4 linked regions of the Drosophila melanogaster genome follow. The protein of the gene in region 1 interacts with the protein of each later gene in a pairwise test. Each region holds a gene or a part of one and is shown in the gene's direction. Other genes may lie near its edges.

Region 1 (3,617 bases):
GGAAACATTAAGAGTAAGGAAGCATGTAAGTTTTCTTTAAAACCGTGCCACGCCCCTGTTACGCCCTAAACTCCTAAAACGCTCACATCCTAAAAGTCTTCTGGATACCAGGAAACGTTCAAATCCTACTACTTTTAAACATATCAAAACTGTAGTAATAGATTGATCAGAGCTATATCCTTGCTACACGCCAAATTATTCAAATTCTACATATCCATATGTTGCAGGTTCATAAACTGAGTAACAGGTATCTAACAGTCGCAACACTCGAATACATTCACAGGTTTTTTGGAAATGAAGGACACCATCACCCTGATACCGCGTGACTAGAACGAGATTTATTTTTTACTTTCTCCACAATCCCAAAATACCGTTGAACAAAAAGATGATAATCAATTTCCATCTCCGTAAACAAATATAAATCCATTCTGAATATTTCAAGACACAATTTTTTTAAGTTAAAATCAAAAATCTGATTCATACCGGAACTGTGAAAAAATACTTATCACTTGTGTCACACCAGCAATATGTTATGACGTCAAAAATCCATATCTGTAAATATATCTAAGTTAGAACTTTTATTATATAGTCTATATTCATAATGGTAATGCAAATGAAAACTCTCTTAACTTCTAAAACTCTTTGTTGGTAAATGTAAATAGAAATGTAACATTTAACCTGAGTGTGTATACAAGATACAAGAAATATAAGATATGTATGTATTAGCCAGAAGACCTGAGAAAAATTTAATGGATGTTGTGTTATCCGTCAAATAAATTGTTCAAAAAATATTTAAAATATCAGCGCGATTCTTACCTGTTACTTGTAAAGCAACGCAGACTCTTAAAATTTCTTTCGTTACGCCTACTTATATAAAAGGAAATTAAAAGAATTGCTTAATATGTTTGCTTTGTTTGGCCTTGTTAAAAGAAATAATAAGTAATTCTGTGATGAAAACATTTTTAAGCAGAGAGAACTATATAGTCCAGTTCCTCGACTATCAGATACCAATTACTCAGCTGGTGGAAAAGTTCAACATTCATTTTGGCTTATCTATACAAATTGGAAAAAAAAATAATAAGATGAAAAATAGGCAAGTAACTTTTTAAAAGTGTGGGTTTGGTTTGGTTTGGGCGCATCCAACATATCTTTTGCCATACTGATAACAAATAGTAAAATTAAAAAATGTCTACACATAAAAGTGAAGACGTAGCAGATTTCAGTGTTAAAATGGGCGTGGTAAAAGGTTTTTGGCATAGCTCTAGAAATTGGCAAGACAAGTAATAAAATGAAAAAAAATCGATTCATTTTTTTAAATTGTGGCGTTGCATCATCAGAAAGAAACTGAATTTCTAATCTTAACTTTCTAGCTTTAATAGTTCAAGTTAATAGACAAGGATATCAAAAATATATACATTTTTAAACGAATCTAGTATAACCATCTACTACACGAGTAATAGGTAGAAAAATATAATTGTTTTGTGTAAAAATATCATTAAAAAATAATTCAAATGTTTAGAGAAAAAGTTTTGTATTAAATGTTTGATTGCATTCAGCGCTTTGGATTTGTTTTCAGTTGATTTCGAGAATTTGCGCACTCGCAACTCTGGCCACACCGCACGTCACGGCAACGGCAATCCTAGAACTATCTGCCACATCAGATTTTTCAAACTTTGTATACTGTTTCTCAAAAGAAAACGATGTCATAGCAAATTAAGAGTGAATCGTAAAATCAACATCGAAAGTGTTGCCGCCTCCATGTAGAAGTGACCCCGCTAAAGTCCTCGCCGCTTTACAAACGCCGCAGCATCCTCAAGACAGTTCTTGGACCAAGTGGAACGAATCCAAAGATACACATAACACTTGTGGAACGCCCACACTTGTCGAAAGAAGAATTGTAGATTGCAGCGAAGACGTGTATCTAAGATAAGTGTTAGGACGAGGTTGGGAAAGCACAAGCAAAATGGCACACACTGGCGGGAACCTATCCGGTAACATGCAGCCGCCACCGCCTTCCGGAGGCAGGTTCTCCGTGGACATGCAAAGGTGAGTAAACCGTAACAAGGAGCGAATAGCTAATTACTCTTGAACCCTGCAGCCTGCCCTCGCTATCCAACCTGCCATCACCGCTGCAGATCTTCCAAATGGTCCGAAACTCCCTGCGGCCCTGGGTAGTCTTCTTCAACATCAACAATTTCAAAACGGCCATCAGCATGCAGCGGCTAAATAGCCGGGTTATTCGGAATCTCTCCTATTTTCAGGCCAACTACGTTTTCATCTTTTTTGTACTGATGATATACTGCCTGTAAGTGATTCTAAAAACCTTATTGCACCCCATTTAATAGTTATAATCTTAAGCATCACGGCTCCCTGCATTCTGCTGGTCATCCTGGCTTCCGCTTTTGGCTGCCATAAGCTGCGCGTGCGCAACAGTAACATTACCATCGTGGGACAACAACTGACGCCCAGCCAGCAGATCATCGCACTCAATCTGGCGACGGCACCAGTGCTATTCCTGGTGGGCGCGGGTGCGGTTTTGTTTTGGACGCTGGGTGCTTCATGCTTCGTGATTGCTATGCATGCTATATTCTACAACATCGATGCTATTGTAACGGAGGAGAATGAGGGTTTCCTCGCCCAGGTTGTCTGACCGCCAGCCAGAAGCTAAACCCTAGGTCTTCTGGGATCGTGGCAACCAGGGACGAGGAAAGGGGCTAAACATATTCGCCACTATGGGGCCTTGCAAGTCGACACAATATGTTGTACACCTATTTATAACGAAATCTAGTTAAGCCGCAGACTTTAAATAATCGAAATACACACTATGACAGATTCATACGACTATATTCTTTTTGGCAAATTAATCGCAATATATGAGGCGCATTCGCTGAGAACTTCGATTTAATTCGAAAAAAAAAATTAATTTAAAGGATGTGGTCAAGTCATTGGACTCTGTGGCACTTACAATATTTCAGATATTTTCGAGCTCTTTAGAGGCATGCGTTTTAAAAATGTATTCTTTTAAATAAAGAATAAATATAAGTAACCGGAAAAAAATCGCATAGTCGGTTCTCCAAAAGAAGTTTCCATAAATAAGCTGTTTAAAATACATTGAACAAACGGCTCAATAAATCAACTAGAAATACACCACGATCGGAATTCTCTGCGATATGCACCACAAGGAAGGTAAATAAAGTTACCTAAAGTACACACATATACATAGCTCGCGTAAAACTAAGTCGGTATTTCAATGAGGTACAGGTAGTTAGAACTAGGAATGCTTTGTTAGCTGCGTAAGTCTTGGTCCTTCGCCTAGGCGTACTGGGCACTCGCCAGTGTCTTCGTCTCCTGCTCCTCGTCGCTGGCCTGCTGGTCCAGCTTCTCGAATCCGTTGCGATCCCGATCGAGAAGTCCGCCCAGCTTGAAGCCATCGCTTTTCTCCCACGCGTGGCGACGACCGCGTGCTCCGAAAGGCAGGCAACCTGTGGGATATGTTGGTACAACTGATTAACTAACAATTACCATGGGATTTATATGAGCAATAACACTAGTCACCCCATTCCCTTCTTAGTTCATGCATAGATCTGCGATCTGGCGTGCACTGGAACAAACCAAAA
Region 2 (7,278 bases), on another chromosome or scaffold:
TTTTCGTTTTGTCACTAATCGGACTTTGGATTGCCAAGCGAATTACACAGCATTCGGCAAGTATTACGTAGAATACTGAATGTAGATGTTTGACTGTGCAATGGCGTATTATCGATGCGGTGGCAGGGGTTCAAAGGTCGCACGAAGCTTTTGCGTGGCGTTGCCCATTGGCCATTGATAATCGAAGTGCCCCCATACACAGAAATACATATGTACGTATGCACATATATGTACATAAATATATATTGCAATGTACTTCAATCTAAACTTTGTTTGCGCCCGACACAACGTATTAATTAATCTAGTTGTCAAGCATGCCGAACAAACGTAGGCACTGTCTCTCTTCTTTTCCCAAATTTCTTTCTTTCTCTTCAGCTCTCTTGTTTTCTGAACAGAATAATTGGACCCCCCTCCAAGGACAACACAGAAGAATTGCACTATGAACTCTGCATAGATCGGGAAAAAATGATCAAAATTAGTTTGATCATGATAGAAGAATTGTTTATAATTTGATAATGGTACATTCTTTCACCTGATTTTCTAATTATGTTTTACCTCGAAAATAAAGATAATGAAAATTGTTTCAAAACTATTTTAAGTTTCATTTAAAACAGATATAGTACACAATTGTACTTATTTCAAACAAAGCGTTTGTACTATAATAATTCATCATAACAATTTAAGTGTACTGTTCAAAAACTATAGTACATTTATTCATATTATAATTACAGTTTGTCAAGAAACTGTTTACACACTGTGAAATAAGTTGAATTTTTGACTTTAAAGCTAAAAATTAAGTGTTTTTTGCTTAATTAAACGCAATTTTTGTATAAAATAAAATTAAACAGTATTTATTTTACTTATAAATCAAAAAATAAATTAAATATAATTTAATTAAATATAAAATAATAATTCGCTTCAAGCAAAGTCAAACAAATTTCATTAGAAGCGTTGTAAAAAGCAATGCAAAGCCAAAAATAACGGAAAAATCGAGTTCGTTCTAAGAAAAAGAACAAAACAAAGTAGGAAAACAAAATGTGTAAAGAGTTTCTTGACAGTCTCAAAGGTGTGTAAACTTGGATTATGTTGTTTATTTTCTTGTATATTTAATATTTTAATATTTGTTTTTTGATTTATAAGTAAAATAAATATTGTTTAATTAAATTTTATAAAAAAAATTGCGTTTAATTAAGCAAAAAACCTTTAATTTTAGCTTTAAAGTCAAAAATTCAACTTATTTCACAGTATGTAAACAGTTTCTTGACAAACTGTATATGGGGTCCTCAAAGAGAGTCCTAATCTCAAACTCTCGCTGATACTGCTTTGGCGCTCTGCTCTCTTCGCAGCGAAGCTATCTTACAGCAGCAAACGATCTAGCTATTTTCAAGATATATGTTGCAAAGAAATGTTCCTAAGCTCATTTATATTATTTGGTTATTTTAACCTTTTTATTTGTTTAGCACTGTTTTTTCACTGTCTGCGATATTTTATTACATTATTATTATTTATTACTCAACATTTTTGATAAACAAATTTGTGTATGGTTAAGTACACAAGTTCGAAGATTTTAATATTATAATTATATTTTGTAGTAATCGTGCTTGTCAAAGCTCATGGTTAAATTTTAATAATACAAAGTGTATTATAGCCACATGACCCTTGACTAGGCATAAATCTTGGAAAAAACACACTGCGGTTTGAACAAAAAGTAAGCTCTATTGGTAAAAACTGTACTTTTTAGCTATTTGACTAAAATTTCCTCATCCACTTCTTGCCACCTGCGGCATCACTGTTGCTCATAGCTTTTTGTTGCTCGGCGCTGGCAACACTGGCGGCGGCACTCGCTCATATAATAAACCAGCCGCGCAGCTCGCAAATCAGTCAGAGAGTCCCAACGAGCAGACGTGAGCAGACGTGCCAAAAAGTGCTAGGAATAAAATAAAACAGAGTGCTTCCAGAACGCAGACACACGCATACCCTACATTCACACACTCACTCGCAGGTTAAGCTGTTTTTTTGTTCGTGAAAGAAAAGAAGCAAGAGGCGAAAAGAAAAGTGCGGTGGCAAGCGGAAGAGCTTGATAGCGAAAGACAGAAAGAAAAAGTGAAAAGGGCAGCAGAAAGCAGCGCAAGAGGAACCAAAGAAAACTGATCATGGCCAGTGCAGAGCAGAAACACGCCACCGGGAACGGAACAACTGGCAATGGAACGGCGATGAACGATGTGGACCAGCCCAAGGATGCCAAGGACCTTCTGCCGCACCTTGAGTCCCTCGAGAGGATCATCAAATTGCCCGTGGTAAATGCGGCATGGGACAAGTCCCAGGATGTCTATGGCAAAGTAAAAGGTAAGTGCAGCAAAGGAAAACAGAAGAAAATGAAAATAAGACCTCCTCCGGGTGCATTGAACTCGCTCAAGTCCCGTTACTTTGGCGCGCCTAACGGCACATATAGAGAATAAACGACCGGTGAAGGAGGAGGTAAATAGCAACAACAATTGCAGCGACCATATGCACTCGAAGCCGTAATCGAAACCGAAACCGTTGCTTTTTTGACTTTGCTTCGCCATTTTATTTCGAGTTGCAATTCGAACTCGAAACGCACATAGAGGGCAGAAACAACTTTTTTTTGTTCAACTTTTTTTTCGTTTAATTGGCCAGAAATTAAGCTCAATTGATATAAATTGATTGCCGGTCGTTCAATAATCGAAATCACAGCAACAACAACCATGACCTAGCAATAAGAAAAGCAAAAAGGCCGGCACTTTGCCCTCGTGACGCGTTGCGTTCAAAGTTCGCTTAAAATTTACATAATAATAAAACAATCTTGGCCAACGCAATAGAGAGCGCAAGAGAGATAGAGTGAGGAGAGAGAGAGCGGTGGCTGACGGCAAAAAGGCCACCGCACGTAGGCTGCAGCCGCAGAGGCGCCGTCAACAAAAGGGGGCTCGTTTTGACAAGAGGAAAAGCAAAGCAGACCCAATGGCAACGCCACTGGCACTGGCAGTGCTGCTCGATCTGACCAAAAGTTAAGCTAAACTTGCACTTTAATTATAGCTAAAATAATGTTACTAGTTTTCTTCTCAATATTGATCCCAGCCTAAGTTTGCCGATCGTAAAAGCACAGATCCCTGAAAAAACAAATACTTAATGCATTTACTAGACAATACCAATTACCGCTGTCGAATAAAGCTAGATTTGGCTGGAAACTAACTAAAGCGGGCAGCACTTATGCTAAGGGGCTCTTGGGGTCTCACCGTCAGCAGCAACGACAACAAAAATTCTAGTTGGACTTTCGACTTGTTTGTGATATTTCGCAGTTGTTGTTGCTGCAGTTGCTGGGACTGGAATTGGAATGGATGATGTGTTTGACGAGTGACGAACTATCAAAGTCTAAACTGGCGGGCCCCAGACAGATAGAATGTAGGGGTCCAAGGGGCCCTGGGGTTCGTGAACTGCGCAGTTGCTTATCAGCCAGAAATGCTACATATTTATTATTACTATTATTATTGTTATTGTTATTATTATTACGGTTGCAACTGATAAGCGCGCTCTTCGTACTTGTGTCACATGTGTGGGGTATTACTACACAATTCTAGAAATTCTAGAAGTTCTAGATCTCTAAATTAAACAGGCTGTTAACTTTTAAATTAAACTTATACTAAGACATATAATTTCCAATCCGTATTTTTCATCGTAATGTGAACTACTCATATTTTCAGGCAAAAATCGTGTCTTCGAATGGGCTTTAACGGCGGCCGAGGATTGTGTGACGCGCGCGGTGACAACGGCGGCTCCCTTCGTCACCAAACTGGACCGACCCATCGCCTATGTGGACCAGACCCTGGTCAAGGGCATCGATAAGCTTGAGGTAAAGGCGCCGATCATCAAGGACACACCCCAGGAGATCTACAACCAGGCCAAGAGCAAGGTGATCGATGTGGTGCAGCCCCATCTGGAGCGCGTCGTCAAGTTCAAGGCAGCTGGTCAGCAGAAGGCCGCCTCGCTGAAGGATCTCGCCTGGCAGAAGGCCAACGAGGTGCTGGCCACCCAGTACGGCAGTCTGGCTGTCAACGGAGTGGACACCACCACGGCGCTGGCCGAGCGCCTCCTTGAATACTACTTCCCCAAGTGCGAGTCGGATGTCGAGGAAGATAATGGTGAGTGTTGACGGTAGAGTTACAAAAAAGTAGGTCACAATGTTAGGGTACTTTTGTTTATATATTTGTTCATTGGAGCCGTAGAACAGTGGTTTCACTTGGAATCTCTCAATTGCCATGACGTAAAATTTAATATAATATAAGTTAGTTGATGCAACTTAATTGAAATCTTGTTGTACATTTCATTACGTTTAAAACTACTTTTTTAATTTATTTAATATCAAATTCATAAGATCATTTTGACTTCACTTGAATTAATAGTCTTGTCCTGTCGTACTTCCATTATAATTTTTATATATATTCTCTTTGACACTTCTTTCTAAAAATTAAAAATACTGTCTTCAGAGCGAATAAGTTTAGAATTCAGTTTTATTTAAGAACTCTGGATGATGGTGGAGAACATTATTTATTGGCTCCGTACCATTTTTCATCTGTTGGCACAAAAATTTAAAATTAGCTTGTTTGCCTTCTGCTGCCCTCACTTTTTTTTGCGCGGTGTGTAAACAAAATTCTAAATATAAATCGTAAATATTTTTAATTCTCAGATGATAAACAAAATGCCGTCGTGCAGAATGGCAAGAGTTCTGAAAATGACAGTAAGTTCCCGATCCCCGATCCGATCTTTTGTTCGTTCGATCGTTTGTTTCTTTGTCTACCACTAACACACCGTCTAATAAGCATAAAAATAGCAAGTAAATAAAAAAGCATGAACACTAATCAAGCATGGCGATAATTTCACACACAAAACGAGAACAAAATGGGAATATAATATACAGAAATATTTACGATTTCGAGTCGAGCGATAAATGTTGGCTAGCCTTGGGATTTCCGAAACCCAGATCCTGATCCTGGTCCTTTCCCCGCCCCTAACATTAATTAACCACCCAACCCCCACCAAAAAGTGACACTTATTTTCTAAATTAATATCTCTCTCTCTCTCTATCTCTCTTTCTCTGTGCCATTTGTTAGTTATTATTGTTGGGGAGAGCTACGACCGGGATCACGATCAAGAGATTGATGATAGATTCTTAGTGGCCGCCTCGACGGTATTTCTGTCCATGTCCCTGAAAATCATAACCGAAATTGTTGAGTACGTTAGAAGAAATCCAGAGATCGTAGGCATTATCGATAGGGAACTCAACAAGTTTATGGTAAGCACACACAAGCCCACACAGCGCCAAAGTTACTAATCAATCAATGACTTGTTTATAACCCGTAACAAATACTCAAATTACAATTGCTTGCTTCCCTCGTTAATGGTGATTGCCTTTGCTCAATTTACTTGTAGTGCCAGTTCCCGCCAGCGAGGATCCAGTCCTACACACAGTACAGACAGTTGGACGGCTATCCAATAAGATCTCGCGTCGCGTCTATCGAAATGTCTCCCGACAGATCAAGCAGGTCCAGAAGGGCAACATCAACGACTATCTGAGCTCCCTGATAGCCGCCCTCAAGTTGCATCAGTACATCAATTTTATTAACTCGTCGATGGGCACGAATGTGGAGCAGTCTGGTGGCAGCAGCAGTGACGCCTGTTCGCCATTTGGAACCACCACTAGCACCACTACCACCACTACCACCAGCTCCACCAGCAACAACAAGCCCGTTGTTGCCTTGCCACATGTGGCCAAAAGCAAACGGGCGCCGGCGGTGTCGTCTCAGTAGTGGAGAAACAGCAGCTCATCTACAATTATATCTATCTATAGCTAGATATTATCCTCTTTCACGCACGCTCACCACCTAAGATACCCCTCTACCTACCACCCACGCCGCCCATTTTATAATGTATTTTATAAATTCTTTTTTTTTTTTTATTGCGTACTATTTCATTGAGTGTACTAGCCGATACGAGTAGTACTTCCATAGAGGATCATTTAAAGTGGAGAAGGTTATTCGAACGCACGCCCAAGAAGTCCGCCTCCTCCTGCGCCACCTGCTTTGTAAATATTTATTTGAAGTATAGCCCTCACCAATCCTAGTTATAAGATATAGTAGTCGCAGAGATCCGGGAGTCAGAAGAGAGCGTTTTTTTTTCGTCAATTTTAGCTGTGCTAAAGTGCCACGCATGCATTGAATAATACATTATAAATATATACACACACACCTATATATGCCTAACATATACGCAGATATATGATATATATACATATAGAGAGAAACACACGCACACGGTTGGCATAGTGCGGTTTAGCTGTACGTATACGTAATATAATACCTAATGCTATTTCTATATCTATTTAAATTCCATTGTACGCTCGCTGGGAGCCCAACCAGATGATGTTTAATTGCTAATGAAAATGAATTATGCCTAATATATATCCATACATATATATATATATATATAACACAACACCCCCCCCCTCTCCCCTCACACACTTGTATGGAGAACCTAGCCATAATGTTTGCTCTAAACAACTAGATTGATAATATTAAATATTAATAAAAAGAACCAACGCAAAACTGGAACGAAGAACAAGAGAATTGCCAACGAATTTCTTTTAATTATTTTTGCCTCTGCCACTCGATGATGAGCGGAAGGGGGTGGGGGGAGAAGGAGGAGCGCTGTAGCTCCTTCTGCCCCCTATCTGATTAGGCGCCTTATCGGGACAGCACTGTACGGTCCGCTGATTTATTTCGAGTTCAGTGTAGAGTTCAGTCGCTGCAGCGAATGAATTTATGGAGCACTTGCTGCCCAGATAAGGCTATATGTATGTATGTATGTACACAATGTTTCCGAACATGTGATATTAAAGTGCGTTTTGCTCGAAATCGGAAATCGCTGCTAAAACCATGTGCTTCATAAATGTATATCAACTAAATGTTTCAGCGCACACTTCAGTTACAAATATTAGCTGGCTAGATAATACCTACATTTTTCTTTAGTTGTTAGTTACAATGACGTATGGGAACTACTTCTGCTTGCCCATTTGGCCCAGTTCCAGTTTTAAGTTCCCACTTTCTTGAGCCGCACTGTCGCCCAGTGGACTTGTGACTCTGTCCCTGTCGATAATGACGGCGTTAATGGCCGTGCAATTATCCGTCTTGTAGATTGGGCAAAACGTCGACGTCGGCTTCTCGGAGTTTCCTTTTCATTTCGTTTGGCTTCGCCACTCCACTTCCT
Region 3 (6,745 bases), on another chromosome or scaffold:
AAAAAATTAACTACATTTTTGTAATAAAAATAGTTCCATTAGACCCTTTAAAATTAACAAAATAGATATGGATAATATTTTATATATGTAAGTTCCTGACACCACTTTTCTTTCTGTGTGCCCATTTAAAAAAACATTTTTCTAAAAACATCTCTATAAAGAAATGCTTAAAAAATTATCTACATTTTTATAATAAAAATAGTTCCATTAGACCCTTTAAAAATAACCAAAATAATAACATTTTATATATAAGTTCCTGACACCACTTTTCTTTCTGTGTGCCAATTTCCAGCTACAAAATTGGCTTTAAATAAACCGCTAGACAATTGATTTATTATCGCCGTCACGTCATTGAGACGAACTCAATTGGCAGCATAGTTATAAGTGCTTATATATATATATATATATGTGCCAATGTGGGGGATGACACGCCCCAACTCCATAACCTGGCACTTAATTTAACTACGCAAATAGGGTTTACGGGCGCAGTTAACACATTTCCAGATCGATGGGAAGCGATTGTCCGTCCAATGAATGGGTCAATTTCACGCACTTACTCTCACCAGTCTCCCAGATTCCCAGGTGATTTGTGTGACCCATGGTGATCCATGTACTCCACCCACGTGCTAAGTGCCCGGTCAAATATGCAAATGTTTGCCGAGTTGGATGCACTGCAGCTGTGTTGGTCGCCACCCTTCCGGGTCTTTGGCATTTCCATTTCCATTTGAAGCACATTGGCCGTTTAGCATTTTTTGTCGCGCGCTCGTCATTCAAACAGAAACAGCTCGCATTATCGGCGCTTCTCTTTTGTGATTATGACCCTGAACTTCAGCGCTACTAAATGTATTAATTCAGTCGATTAATACCGCTAGTCGGGGTCTGTGCGAAATCTGCTCCTTGGCCGAGTTTCTAACGTAGCTGGTCAGAACGCCGAGAGCTGATGGATGATATTGGCCTGGATTGGTCAATAGGGTATATCATCTTGATGGGCTGCCCCTGAGCAAAGCAAGTTCTATAGTCTTATGTTTGAAATTGAATTTGTTTAACAAAGATGAATGACTCTTGACTAAACATATTGGCCTTTATGTGCAATAAATATTCTAAGGGCGCTATTAAAACGTAGTTAAATTGCGCTATTAAGAGCTTGCCAAACAAGTGAATCTTTATTGGGCCTGCAAGGCTGGTGATATTTCCTCACTAGCCAAACACCATTTTGTCTTCCCAATTAAGTTTCTTTATTATTAGAATTGTTATTTGCCTACATTTGTGGGTTTTTATAACACCGTAATGCTATTTCTAAAAAAGCTATAATTAGACATTCTTGTATTACTTTAATTAATTAATTTAAATATATATATTTTAAGTAAGCTGTGATGTTGTCTTTGTTGTCTTTGCAAAAGTGTCCAAGGAATGGCAGATATGTGCATACTTAAGTAGGTTAAATATCGGGGAACTACACATGCTAATTCATAACTACCAGGCTTAAGTTGAGTTCATTGTTGATGTTTTTTAATGAGATGCCTTAACATTTTTTGAAAACAATTTCTCTGTTACTGAAGTGTTTACAGACTAGAGGAAAATTTTCTATTCATATAATATACGTCTTGTAATTTCGTCACGGTAATTTCTCATGAAAAAAAAAACAAATGCCTGTTAGGTATTTACGCAAATATCCAATATTTGGTCAGTTGAAGTACCACCTTTGATCGCCAATAAAAAGTTGTTAGCTCTCAAAAATGTTGACTAATAATGAAAGCACCTTGTTTACCGGGAGCAATACGATTTGCTGGCAAGCATTTTCAAATATGGCGGGCGCTGCGCAGAGTTGCCACATTGTTTTACAGAGCTGTGACTACAAAGTAGCGTTAACAGCCGTTAACAGCTGCTGCGTCAAGGTATGACCGCATTTCCTCCGTTCCCATATGATTGCTAGTGATTTTCCCTATCGCGCTTGCAGTCACACTGGAAAAAACACAGAAAAAATTAAATTAAGGGAAAACAGATGAAAAACTGCAATTGCACGCAATTGAAGCAAGTGCAGCAAATAGTTTTTCGCGCCAGTGTTGACTCCTGGGCCTGCCGTCGAAGCCACGCCAACTGCGCGACTTTCGAGTGGTAAGTGAATAGTAACGAAACGCCAGTGAAATCGAGTGATTAATCGTTCGTTTGTGTTGTGACACTTTCTGTAACTTCGTATAAAAAAAATGGGAACTGCGCAAGTGGAGTGCAGGTGGGGGTTAAGCCAGTTGGTAGTATTCCACTCACACGTGGCCTTCTGGCTGCATTTTCCATGCACTTTGCTATCTATATAATGGTTTCCCCGAAATAGCAACTGCACCTTAACCCACTGAGGATCCCACTCGCATTTGAACACCATCTTATGTAAAAACGTAATTGGCAGCTAAGTTTCCTAAGTGATAAAACACACAAAGCTACCAGATACAGACTTATGTGCTACGTACAACCGATTTACTGGGGAACAAAGGTCGCGCCATACTATATAGCAATGCGATCGGAGCAGACCAATAAACAAATAAACAAATATCGCATTTCCCAGACGAGCTAGCGTTGAGCTAACAAACGCTTAGCATTGCTTTCGAACAACTAAATTCGTATGTATCGTATTGAACAGAACGTATTTCTCTTACAGAATACTATTTGCGGAGTGCAAAACGAATCCGCGGGATCGTAAGACCATGGATTCGGCCACTAATCTCCTCGAGCAACAGGGCTCAGCGGCTGATGTGAGTGGCGGGAGCCATCCCGCCGAGGTGGAGGTAACCACCCAGGCTCGAGCCACTTTCGGCATGGACGCCGAAGGACATGCTACCGGCGAGGCGGTGACCACCACCACGGCCACCTTGCGTAGAGAAGGTTCAGACGAGGATATCTTTGAGCAGGTGCAGATGATCCTGCGCAAGCGACGTGGCTGGGGACCGGAGGACTCGCTTAGCCCCAATGATCTGGACATTCTGGAGTACGACGATGAGTTGGTCGAGGAGGATGACGCCGGTTGTCCACTCCCCTCGACCCCGGAGGACACACAGCTTATTGAGGCGGAGGTGAGTTGGGGCTATTAACCTTTATTTCCATTTTCCACCAGGTGGAAAAGTACGAAATGCAATCGTCAAAACATGTGGCGGAGCTCTTATCGCTGACCTACCACCATGTGGTTATCGGCTGCCACTTGTTAGTCGCAATTTTCCCTCTGCGCAGGCAGTCATTTCAATGTCGGGCGTCTTATCAATCGAAATGTTGCATTGGCCAATGTCTATTTGCCACATGCAAAATGTACCATAACCATTGTACTTAAACCTTATCGTGGCCATTTCTCCATTTTTATGACTCACTAAATACAATTGCTCAATTTAAAGCATATTCCATAGCCATTTGAAAGTTATACCTCTTATCTCTCCTTGCCTTTAATGTCTGTCCGAAAGGTGTCAAGTAAAATTTCTTGACTTTGAGCCTTATACTCTAGACAATCTGCCCGTTTGATCACCGGCTTTAAAGGTCAGGCTTAGATTGAACGCAAAAAGCTTTGGCATAGCCCTTTATACGACAGATGCTGGAAAAAAATCACAAATTTACGTCGATGCGGTGCTGATAATGCCCGGAGTCAGTTTCGGGCAAGCTTATCTTATCGCGGAACGCATTCGGTGCTTTCTTGTTCCGCCAACAAATTGAGTATGCGACTGGCAGAGGCTTCACAGTACAATCGCTCATTGCCTCGCACATTTAGTTCTAGTTCCGTTCGAATCTCTGTTAGCCGCTCAAGATGCAGACCCAGCCGGAGGTTATAGTGCGTGTCAACCCGGATCTGGAGCCGGATCTCAGTCAAGAAACTTACAGAACCCAAAACCCTGACACAGTCAAGGAGCAAGCTGAAAATGCAGTCGTTAGTCCCATTTGCTCTTAGTTTTTCTTTGTTATTAAGCTTTTTATATTTGTTTTGAGAGCTGTTTAATGTCTTATCACTCTATTCCACAGATGACGGAAGTGCTGAAGGCCGGAGTTCTCTCCGATGAAATTGATTTGGGCGCATTGGCACACAATGCCGCCGAGCAGGCAGAGGAGTTTGTGCGCAAGGTAAGCCAAGTGATGCTGCCAAGTGAAGAATGGCTTAAATGGAAGATACTCTTCAAGATTTGTAATATTGTAGCTTTTGTATTTTTGTTTTTATTTCAATAAATAGTATTAAGTGTTGGGACTGTATTTTTTGTTGTTGTTGTTTGTTTATAGTTACCAAACGTAATGTCTTATCTATAGAATGATATGTTATTTTTTTCCATTTCATCCGTAGGTCTGGGAGGCTAGCTGGAAAGTGTGCCACTACAAAAATCTACCCAAGTGGCTGCAGGATAACGACTTCCTACACCGCGGCCATCGCCCACCGCTCCCCTCTTTCCGTGCGTGCTTTAAATCAATTTTCCGCGTGCACACGGAAACGGGCAACATCTGGACACATCTTCTTGGCTGCATCGCCTTCATCGGCGTGGCATTATACTTCATCTCGCGTCCCTCGGTTGAGATCCAGACACAGGAGAAGATCGTTTTTGGCGCCTTCTTTATCGGTGCGATTGTGTGCCTAGGATTCTCATTCGCTTTTCACACACTGAGCTGTCATTCTGTAGAGATGGGAAGACTGTTTTCTAAGTAAGTATTCCTCGACTAATTAAATGGATATTATGTTAATTGTTTTGTTTACCAACAGACTTGACTACTGTGGAATTGCGCTGCTGATCATGGGTTCCTTTGTGCCTTGGCTGTACTATGGCTTCTACTGTCATTACCAGCCAAAGGTGATATACCTATCCGTTGTTAGCATTCTGGGCATCCTCTCCATCGTGGTCTCGCTATGGGACAAGTTTTCGGAGCCGGCACTTCGTCCCTTGCGCGCTGGCGTATTTATGAGCTTTGGCCTGTCGGGTGTGATTCCAGCTATTCACTACAGCATCATGGAGGGCTGGTTCAGCCAGATGAGCCGCGCCAGTCTGGGATGGCTAATTCTGATGGGTGAGTGCTTGTAGATATGCATATTAAAATAATGGTAAAACAATGGCAAAATACATCTTGCAGGCCTCCTCTACATTCTGGGCGCACTGCTGTACGCCCTCCGTGTTCCCGAACGCTGGTTCCCTGGAAAGTTTGACATTTGGGTACGATTCTTGATGGTTTTGTCCTTTGCACCGTTCTAACAGTCTTTTATTTTGCAGGGTCAATCACATCAAATATTCCACATACTGGTCATTGCGGCCGCTTTTGTCCACTACCATGGCATCTCTGAAATGGCCATGTACCGCGTCATGTATAGCGAATGCACTGTTCCCATCGAACCAATAACCTTTTAGATGCTGAAGTGGATGCCAAGAAACAATCATCGTAAAAGCACATACAATCCCATTCATAGTACGAGTAAAACATATATTAATGCGAACTAGCGCAGTTTTACAATGCAACCTTTTTAGCGTTTGGGGAGCATTTGTACCTTGTTATACAAAATCAACGGAACCATATAGAAGACAAAAACACACACTTAACACACAATTACACGCATTTATCATCAAAATCTTGCATAGAAAAAAAAAAATTGCAAAACCAGTTGATTGTCGAATGAAATCTGCAGTAGAGAAATTAATATATGTACAATTATTTATAAAATTCCAATTTGTCTACTTAATGTTGTCGTAAGTTGATTTACATTTCGAGTAGTGCAGAATTGCTTGCATCTGAAATTGGCAAAACGAGATGACTTCCGCTCAAGGGTTCCATTGCTAAAACAGGATCTAAAGGAGCTACCATGTCAGCCAAGCAATTACTTTAAGTTATGCAATTAGATGATCCCCTTGTGGCATTAGTATTTACCTTACCGCTTAGAGTTGTTAGGGTTGTATGGAGTAATGAACATACGTTTCATCGTTAAATGAGGTCTGATTTTATATTCACACATATACACAGCACATCACAAATTCCGCATCCCTGCACCCACACGGCAGAGCATCGCGCATGGAGCCTAAGATATTATATCACCATATACATTATAAATGCAGATCTATCACAAAACATAAAGCGAATCAAAACAATAAAAAAAAAAGCTGAGACTTCTAAAAGAGCGTTTTGGTGAAGATTGCTATATTAAGCCATATATAATTTTATTTCTTGGCGCAAAAACTATTTTAAGGTTTGCTGATTGCCATTGAGCAATTCGGCGGTTGCCATCACCCTAATGCCTGGCCATAAATATCGCTGCAGAGAACTAGAAATTCGCATCGGGGTTATTAGTGGAGTTCAGTCTGCTGATGACTGGGCGAATGCCGAGTTGACTTTGACCCCCTTGATGAAGTGAGCAGCCGTGGTCTAGTCGCCGAGATCTCGGATCGCGATCTGATTCCTCTGCTGCCTTGTGTTCTATGCGTCGTCATTGTCTTCGCCGTGTGCCAGTTTCTATCGACAAATCCGCAGATCGTTAAACCTTTTATTTTGCACGGCGCAAATAAATCGAACTTTGTACTTGACAACTTGTCGGCACGTGTCTTTCAACTAAATGCGATTGCAGGGGTTTTATTTTACAAACAAAAATTCAAGTTCAGCAGAAAAAAAAGCAAATGACTTGGTCGAAATAAGGCGAAAATCAGTTCGGAAGTTGGGCAAAGTGGGAGAAAACCAAAGCCAAAGAGAAATATTTTTAAAATGCCTTAATGAGGCGTAAGCATGTGCAAAGCTAAATGCTACAGTGCGGCTTGGA
Region 4 (5,330 bases), on another chromosome or scaffold:
TTACAATCCGAGTACTTTTCAAAAACTTATGATATACTTTGCAATTGGTCACTGATCGTATGATATAATTCGAACTATATTCAAATGCAAGTTCAAATTTTTGGCACCTGATGCATCTAAATGTATTGTAATTTCTTCAATACCCAATAAAGCTTAACGAAAAAAAAAAACTATTTGGTCTTAAATTAAATTTAACTTTTTTAGTTTTTTTTAACCTGATTTGAAATCCTCATCTATCTAACGTTTACATTGTAAACAAGAATTTTTAACTAATGTTTGCTTAAAACATATTCTTTTTATATATTGTTGAGCGTGTGTTCTTTTCCTCATTTACAGAATATTTTATGATCTGAACGTTTTTTTTTTATATTTGAATTTCAAATAATTACCTTTATGGACCTATCGGTGTTGCTAAGAAATCGATAAATGTAAAAAATACCAGGCCTAACCGTTGTGTTTTGGCGCCCAAGAAACGGCCACACTACAGCCCCACGCTTCAATTTGTTTGTGCGAATTTGTGAAATTGCACATAAAATGCCGGAAGAACCAGAGAAAACGGCGGACGACAAGCGCAGTCACTTGCCGTGGATTGAGAAGTACCGCCCCGTGAAGTTCAAGGAGATAGTGGGCAATGAGGATACCGTAGCAAGACTATCCGTATTCGCCACCCAGGGAAATGCACCCAATATTATTATTGCTGTGAGTTTGTGAGGAGTAAAATTAGTTTGGCGCCACTAATTGTGATCTATAGGGTCCTCCTGGCGTGGGCAAGACAACCACCATCCAGTGTCTGGCCAGGATTCTCCTGGGAGACAGCTACAAGGAGGCTGTCCTCGAGCTGAATGCCTCCAATGAACGAGGAATCGATGTGGTCCGCAACAAGATCAAGATGTTTGCTCAGCAGAAGGTGACACTGCCGCGGGGCAGGCACAAGATTGTGATTCTGGACGAGGCGGACAGCATGACGGAGGGTGCCCAGCAGGCACTGCGCCGGACCATGGAGATCTACAGCAGCACCACTCGTTTTGCCCTGGCCTGCAACACCAGCGAGAAGATCATAGAGCCTATCCAGTCCCGCTGCGCCATGCTACGATTCACCAAGCTGTCCGATGCGCAAGTTCTGGCCAAGCTCATCGAGGTGGCCAAGTGGGAGAAGCTTAACTACACGGAGGACGGACTTGAGGCCATCGTATTCACTGCCCAAGGTGATATGCGACAGGGACTGAACAACCTGCAGTCCACCGCTCAGGGATTTGGCGACATCACCGCTGAGAACGTCTTTAAGGTCTGCGACGAGCCGCACCCAAAGCTCCTAGAGGAGATGATCCACCATTGCGCTGCTAACGACATACACAAGGCCTACAAAATCCTGGCCAAGCTGTGGAAGCTGGGATACTCGCCGGAGGACATCATTGCGAACATATTCCGTGTCTGCAAGCGCATCAACATCGATGAGCATTTGAAGCTGGACTTTATCCGTGAGATCGGAATCACCCACATGAAGATTATCGATGGTATCAACTCGCTGCTGCAGCTCACCGCCCTTCTGGCCAAACTCTGCATTGCCGCCGAGAAGCATTAGATTTAATATGAACTATAGGTTAAAGAAATCTCAGAGATAAATAAAATTGGAGATAAATAAGTCCTTTTCAGTATTGAATACAAGTGTACCTAAATTTTAAACTGGGCACCGTTAGTTAACAGATTAATGTTAATTTCTATGTCAGCGCACTTAGAGCATATCGTCCCTAATGGAGTGTTAATTATTGCGCCCTTGGTATCGGAAGCTGAAATTATCATACAACATTAGATAATGTATTTATAGGACCGAATGATCATTAGTTTTTATACATAAAACCGGAGTTAGTTTTTATACATAAAAACCAATACGTTAGTTAACATTTCTAGTATTTTCGTAGAGCACACCACTATACAACAGTACGGTCGCATTAAGTAGATTATCGCAGCACTACAGAGCTGGCCACACTGTTTGCAGCGCTAAAGTAAAGTGAAATATGGCGAGTCTTGGGGGCCAACACGGAAATATTTCGACTAATCCAGAAGGTACGCATTGAAAACAACCCGCTGAGAGTGCGAAATCGAAGGACGAATGCCCCCGCGTCGAAAATCGGCCAGGATCTACGCGTTTTCGGGGCGTTTTCAGTGGCCAAAAAGTGCTGGTCGACTGCGCAGCAAAACGGCACTCACACCACGGCCAAAAAGCAAAAACGGAGTGAAGAGAGAAAAACGAAGAAAAAAAACAGCGAGGCGAGAGGCACAGAAAAGAAAAGAAGAGAAAAGCCGAGAAGCCAAAAGTGTCTGCCCCCTAGAAATGGGGGATATATGTATTTCGAGTTCCCCGATTCCGAACCGGAGTTTTGAGTTTATAAATAAGTTCCAGTCGGAAAAGTCGTTGGAACAAGAGAGAGGGAAACATACATTATTTTCTCGTACTTCTCACTGTCTCTCTCGCTTCGTCATCGCAGCTGCTGCCGTGCGCTTGTGTTCGTGCGTGTGTGTGTGTGTTTTTGTGTCCCCCTCCTTCCTCGCTCTTTCGCCTTCTTGTCACCTTTCCTTTTTGCCAAAACGCAACGGCAATTGATTTTCCCCACACACGAAAGCCAAAAGTCCGTGTAAAACTCCGGAAAATCGCAGCGAAACTCAATCGTCCATTTTTCTCGTACTTCTTTTGCAGTGGAAAACACAGCCAAGCGACCCGAAAGTCGCGAGGGCAGCGCCGAGCGAAAAGGTAAGCCTTCTATGCGGATTATCTTGCGAGTTACATAAAATCGGCACCAATGTATATCACACATACGCACTATATGTAATCGCTTTAACATCACCTATAACTCGAACCACAGCCCACGCATTCGCACCTGCCAAGATCTCGGGCTGCAGCGCCGGCGCAACCTTGCATTGGTTCGCCCAGGTGGGCGGTCAAATCTCCGCCAGTGAAGACGACTCTCAAGGTAGTTGGCATTCCATTCAGGCTGCTCCAAAGTCTTCCACAGCCACGCCCCGTTCTGTTCCGCCTCCAAAACGAATGCTCCGAATGTTTGCCGCATGATCTCACTAACAAATAAGACCCATAGTCCGCCTTATCGCGATTTTAACCGTCACTGGTCTATTGCAAGTCTTTCATAGCTGTTTTTCTAATAAGAAAATCTTCTTATCTATTCTCACCCAGTGACACGCTTTAAATCACTGTAGTTTCTAAACTGTCTAGATGTTACCCACTAAAGTGGGTTATTAAAAACTCAAAGCATCTTCAATTAACACCTAAAAGATCAAAATGTTATCTACACTTAAGGTCTAGCTTGATTTTAGATGGCAAGTCCAACTCTAATTATACAAATTTTAAAAATATGTATAGTCATATTTGACTAAATCATTGTGAGAATGCAAAACAAGGAATGATTAAGTTATTGGGAATTTGATCTTAATAACAATGTTCTCAAAGTTTGTTAAGTTAAATTGAACTACATGTTATTACGAGAGCAAAAAGGAAATGGATTTTATCAAGCGAAAAATCAATTGCAATGTTTTTGGCTTTCCAAAAACACAAGTAAATATGGCATACAGTGGGTTAAAATCCAGCAATTTTGCCTGCGACCTTGACAGCTGATAATTTCCCATTTGCAAGATATTTTCGCACCTGTAACTGGCAAAAAGATTGACTTGCAGTTGTTCCTTTGTCGTCTTGCTTACGTCATGGAATTCCAAAAATATCTTAACCGATAAGGCGATAAGAACCAGTTCCCAGTTCGATTATGCAGACTTTGGCAGCCAAACCGCATGCTACCAATATTATTGTTATTATTGTTAATTTTTTTTTTGCATTTTTCCGCCTCAATGTCATTTCAATAGAACAAAATGTGCGCCTGCATTAGCAATTTGCTTTCTATTTTCCTTTTATCATTTGTTTTTTTTGTTGTTCGCCCATTTTGCACATAGGCAAATTTGAAGCGGGGGCGGCGGTATTGTTGTCCGAGTATTTGTGCCATATTTGTTATTGTTGCTGCTGCTAGTTTGTCAATTGACCCACAAAATGCGAGTGTACATTGTCGATGACGTCAGCTCTCGGCTCTCATGTAAATAACTCGCCGGCAAAAGTCGAAAAATGGGGTATAATACTACACATATTAAGCAGATATTTATCGATTTTTGTTGGGCCACAGGTAGCAACTGATGAAAATATTCCCAGTTTTATTTGCTTGCGAACCGTAACTTGTTTATCCAAATTCAATTTATGCCCTTATAAGTATGTGCGAATTCGAATCTCTATTCATTTTGCTACGCTTTTAGCGTCCAAAGACCGTGAGGAGAAACTAAAATATGCCCGCGATCGCCAAAATGAGGAGCGCCACCGGAAAATCGAGGAACTGCGTGCCCAGGCGGAGGCCGCCCAGCGGTACCGTGAACAAAAGGAGGAGGAGCGCCGTCGACGCATCGAGGAGATCCGTACCCGGGACACAGAGAAGCGCCACCAGGTGGAGGAGCGCAAGAAGGCCATTTTCGAGGCCGAGAAGGAGCGCCGCGAGTACATCCTCAAAAAGAATCAGGTGCGTGCGTTATCGCTTCGATTCCAATGAACTTCTATTATAATTCTTGTTTTTGATCATCCACAGGAACGCGAGTCCCGGATAGAAGTGAAAAAACGGGACAGAAACTCCATCGGCTTCGCATTTGGCTCCTCGACTCCCCGCCTGCTGGATGTGCCCGCGGATTATGGTCTGGTATCGCCCAGTGCCTTTTGGGGTCAGCGGAGGTGAGATCCGAATGAAAGTTATCTGAGCACAAAGCCAAAAACTCACACAAAACGCGCACACTAATATGTAGCCATTCATGGCTATCTAGATTAGTATATATTTTGGCCGATTTCATATGTGCTTTGCGCTGCACATGACTAATTAGCGCTGCACTCTGACTGGCATTACTTAATTATTTTTATCAGTTCTTGAACTTTTAATGACGAAATTGTTTGCCAAAATATATAAATCACAATTAGTATAATTATTGACTTAGTAAATGTCGCGAAATGAAAGCAAATAATTGGCTAACATGAAACTAAAGATAGTGAGCTAGTAGCCAATCAATTGTTGAAAAAACCCATTTCACAATGATTAAGCAGGTTTTCATTGTAAACTTTGATATTCTTAATGGCAAATAGCTAATTGTTTTATCGTTATGAAGTAGCAAGGCCATTTTGAGGCAATTCGAAGTTTATATTTTTGCGCTTAGATATTTGAATTTGAGTACTAAACATGACTTCCCCTTGCAGGTCCACATCTATATCGAACGTAGCGGGCGCCTCGCTCACACGTCGAAGT

The links.
Region 2: the proteins of CG1418 (region 1) and Lsd-2 interact in a two-hybrid assay, tested with the Drosophila melanogaster proteins (one large-scale study listed by BioGRID).
Region 3: the proteins of CG1418 (region 1) and AdipoR interact in a two-hybrid assay, tested with the Drosophila melanogaster proteins (one large-scale study listed by BioGRID).
Region 4: the proteins of CG1418 (region 1) and ens interact in a two-hybrid assay, tested with the Drosophila melanogaster proteins (one large-scale study listed by BioGRID).

The regions. Positions count from the first base shown.
Region 1 is NT_033778.4:9,963,063-9,966,679, reverse strand, and holds CG1418 (uncharacterized protein), read left to right. Parts: upstream 1-1,612; 5' UTR 1,613-1,963; coding exon 1,964-2,046; intron 2,047-2,098; coding exon 2,099-2,305; intron 2,306-2,358; coding exon 2,359-2,650; 3' UTR 2,651-2,845; downstream 2,846-3,617. Other genes in the region: Pal1 (Peptidyl-alpha-hydroxyglycine-alpha-amidating lyase 1), read right to left, coding at 3,313-3,482.
Region 2 is NC_004354.4:15,070,816-15,078,093, reverse strand, and holds Lsd-2 (lipid storage droplet-2), read left to right. Parts: upstream 1-1,873; 5' UTR 1,874-2,153; coding exon 2,154-2,346; intron 2,347-3,719; coding exon 3,720-4,157; intron 4,158-4,702; coding exon 4,703-4,753; intron 4,754-5,126; coding exon of another isoform or gene 5,127-5,308; intron 5,309-5,445; coding exon 5,446-5,822; 3' UTR 5,823-6,631; downstream 6,632-7,278. UniProt on the Drosophila melanogaster protein: Essential for embryogenesis. Required for normal deposition of neutral lipids in the oocyte.
Region 3 is NT_033777.3:22,543,029-22,549,773, reverse strand, and holds AdipoR (adiponectin receptor), read left to right. Parts: upstream 1-1,927; 5' UTR 1,928-2,115; intron 2,116-2,208; exon of another isoform or gene 2,209-2,390; intron 2,391-2,575; exon of another isoform or gene 2,576-2,650; 5' UTR 2,651-2,696; coding exon 2,697-3,062; intron 3,063-3,500; exon of another isoform or gene 3,501-3,687; intron 3,688-3,742; exon of another isoform or gene 3,743-3,778; coding exon of another isoform or gene 3,779-3,898; intron 3,899-3,990; coding exon 3,991-4,089; intron 4,090-4,303; coding exon 4,304-4,656; intron 4,657-4,714; coding exon 4,715-5,016; intron 5,017-5,079; coding exon 5,080-5,159; intron 5,160-5,216; coding exon 5,217-5,351; 3' UTR 5,352-6,081; downstream 6,082-6,745. UniProt on the Drosophila melanogaster protein: Adiponectin receptor. In insulin-producing cells, regulates insulin secretion and controls glucose and lipid metabolism.
Region 4 is NT_037436.4:4,131,188-4,136,517, reverse strand, and holds the start of ens (ensconsin), read left to right. Parts: upstream 1-1,967; 5' UTR 1,968-2,015; coding exon 2,016-2,064; intron 2,065-2,695; coding exon 2,696-2,749; intron 2,750-2,861; coding exon 2,862-2,969; intron 2,970-4,305; coding exon 4,306-4,562; intron 4,563-4,628; coding exon 4,629-4,768; intron 4,769-5,281; coding exon 5,282-5,330. Other genes in the region: RfC4 (replication factor C subunit 4), read left to right, coding at 535-699, 752-1,582.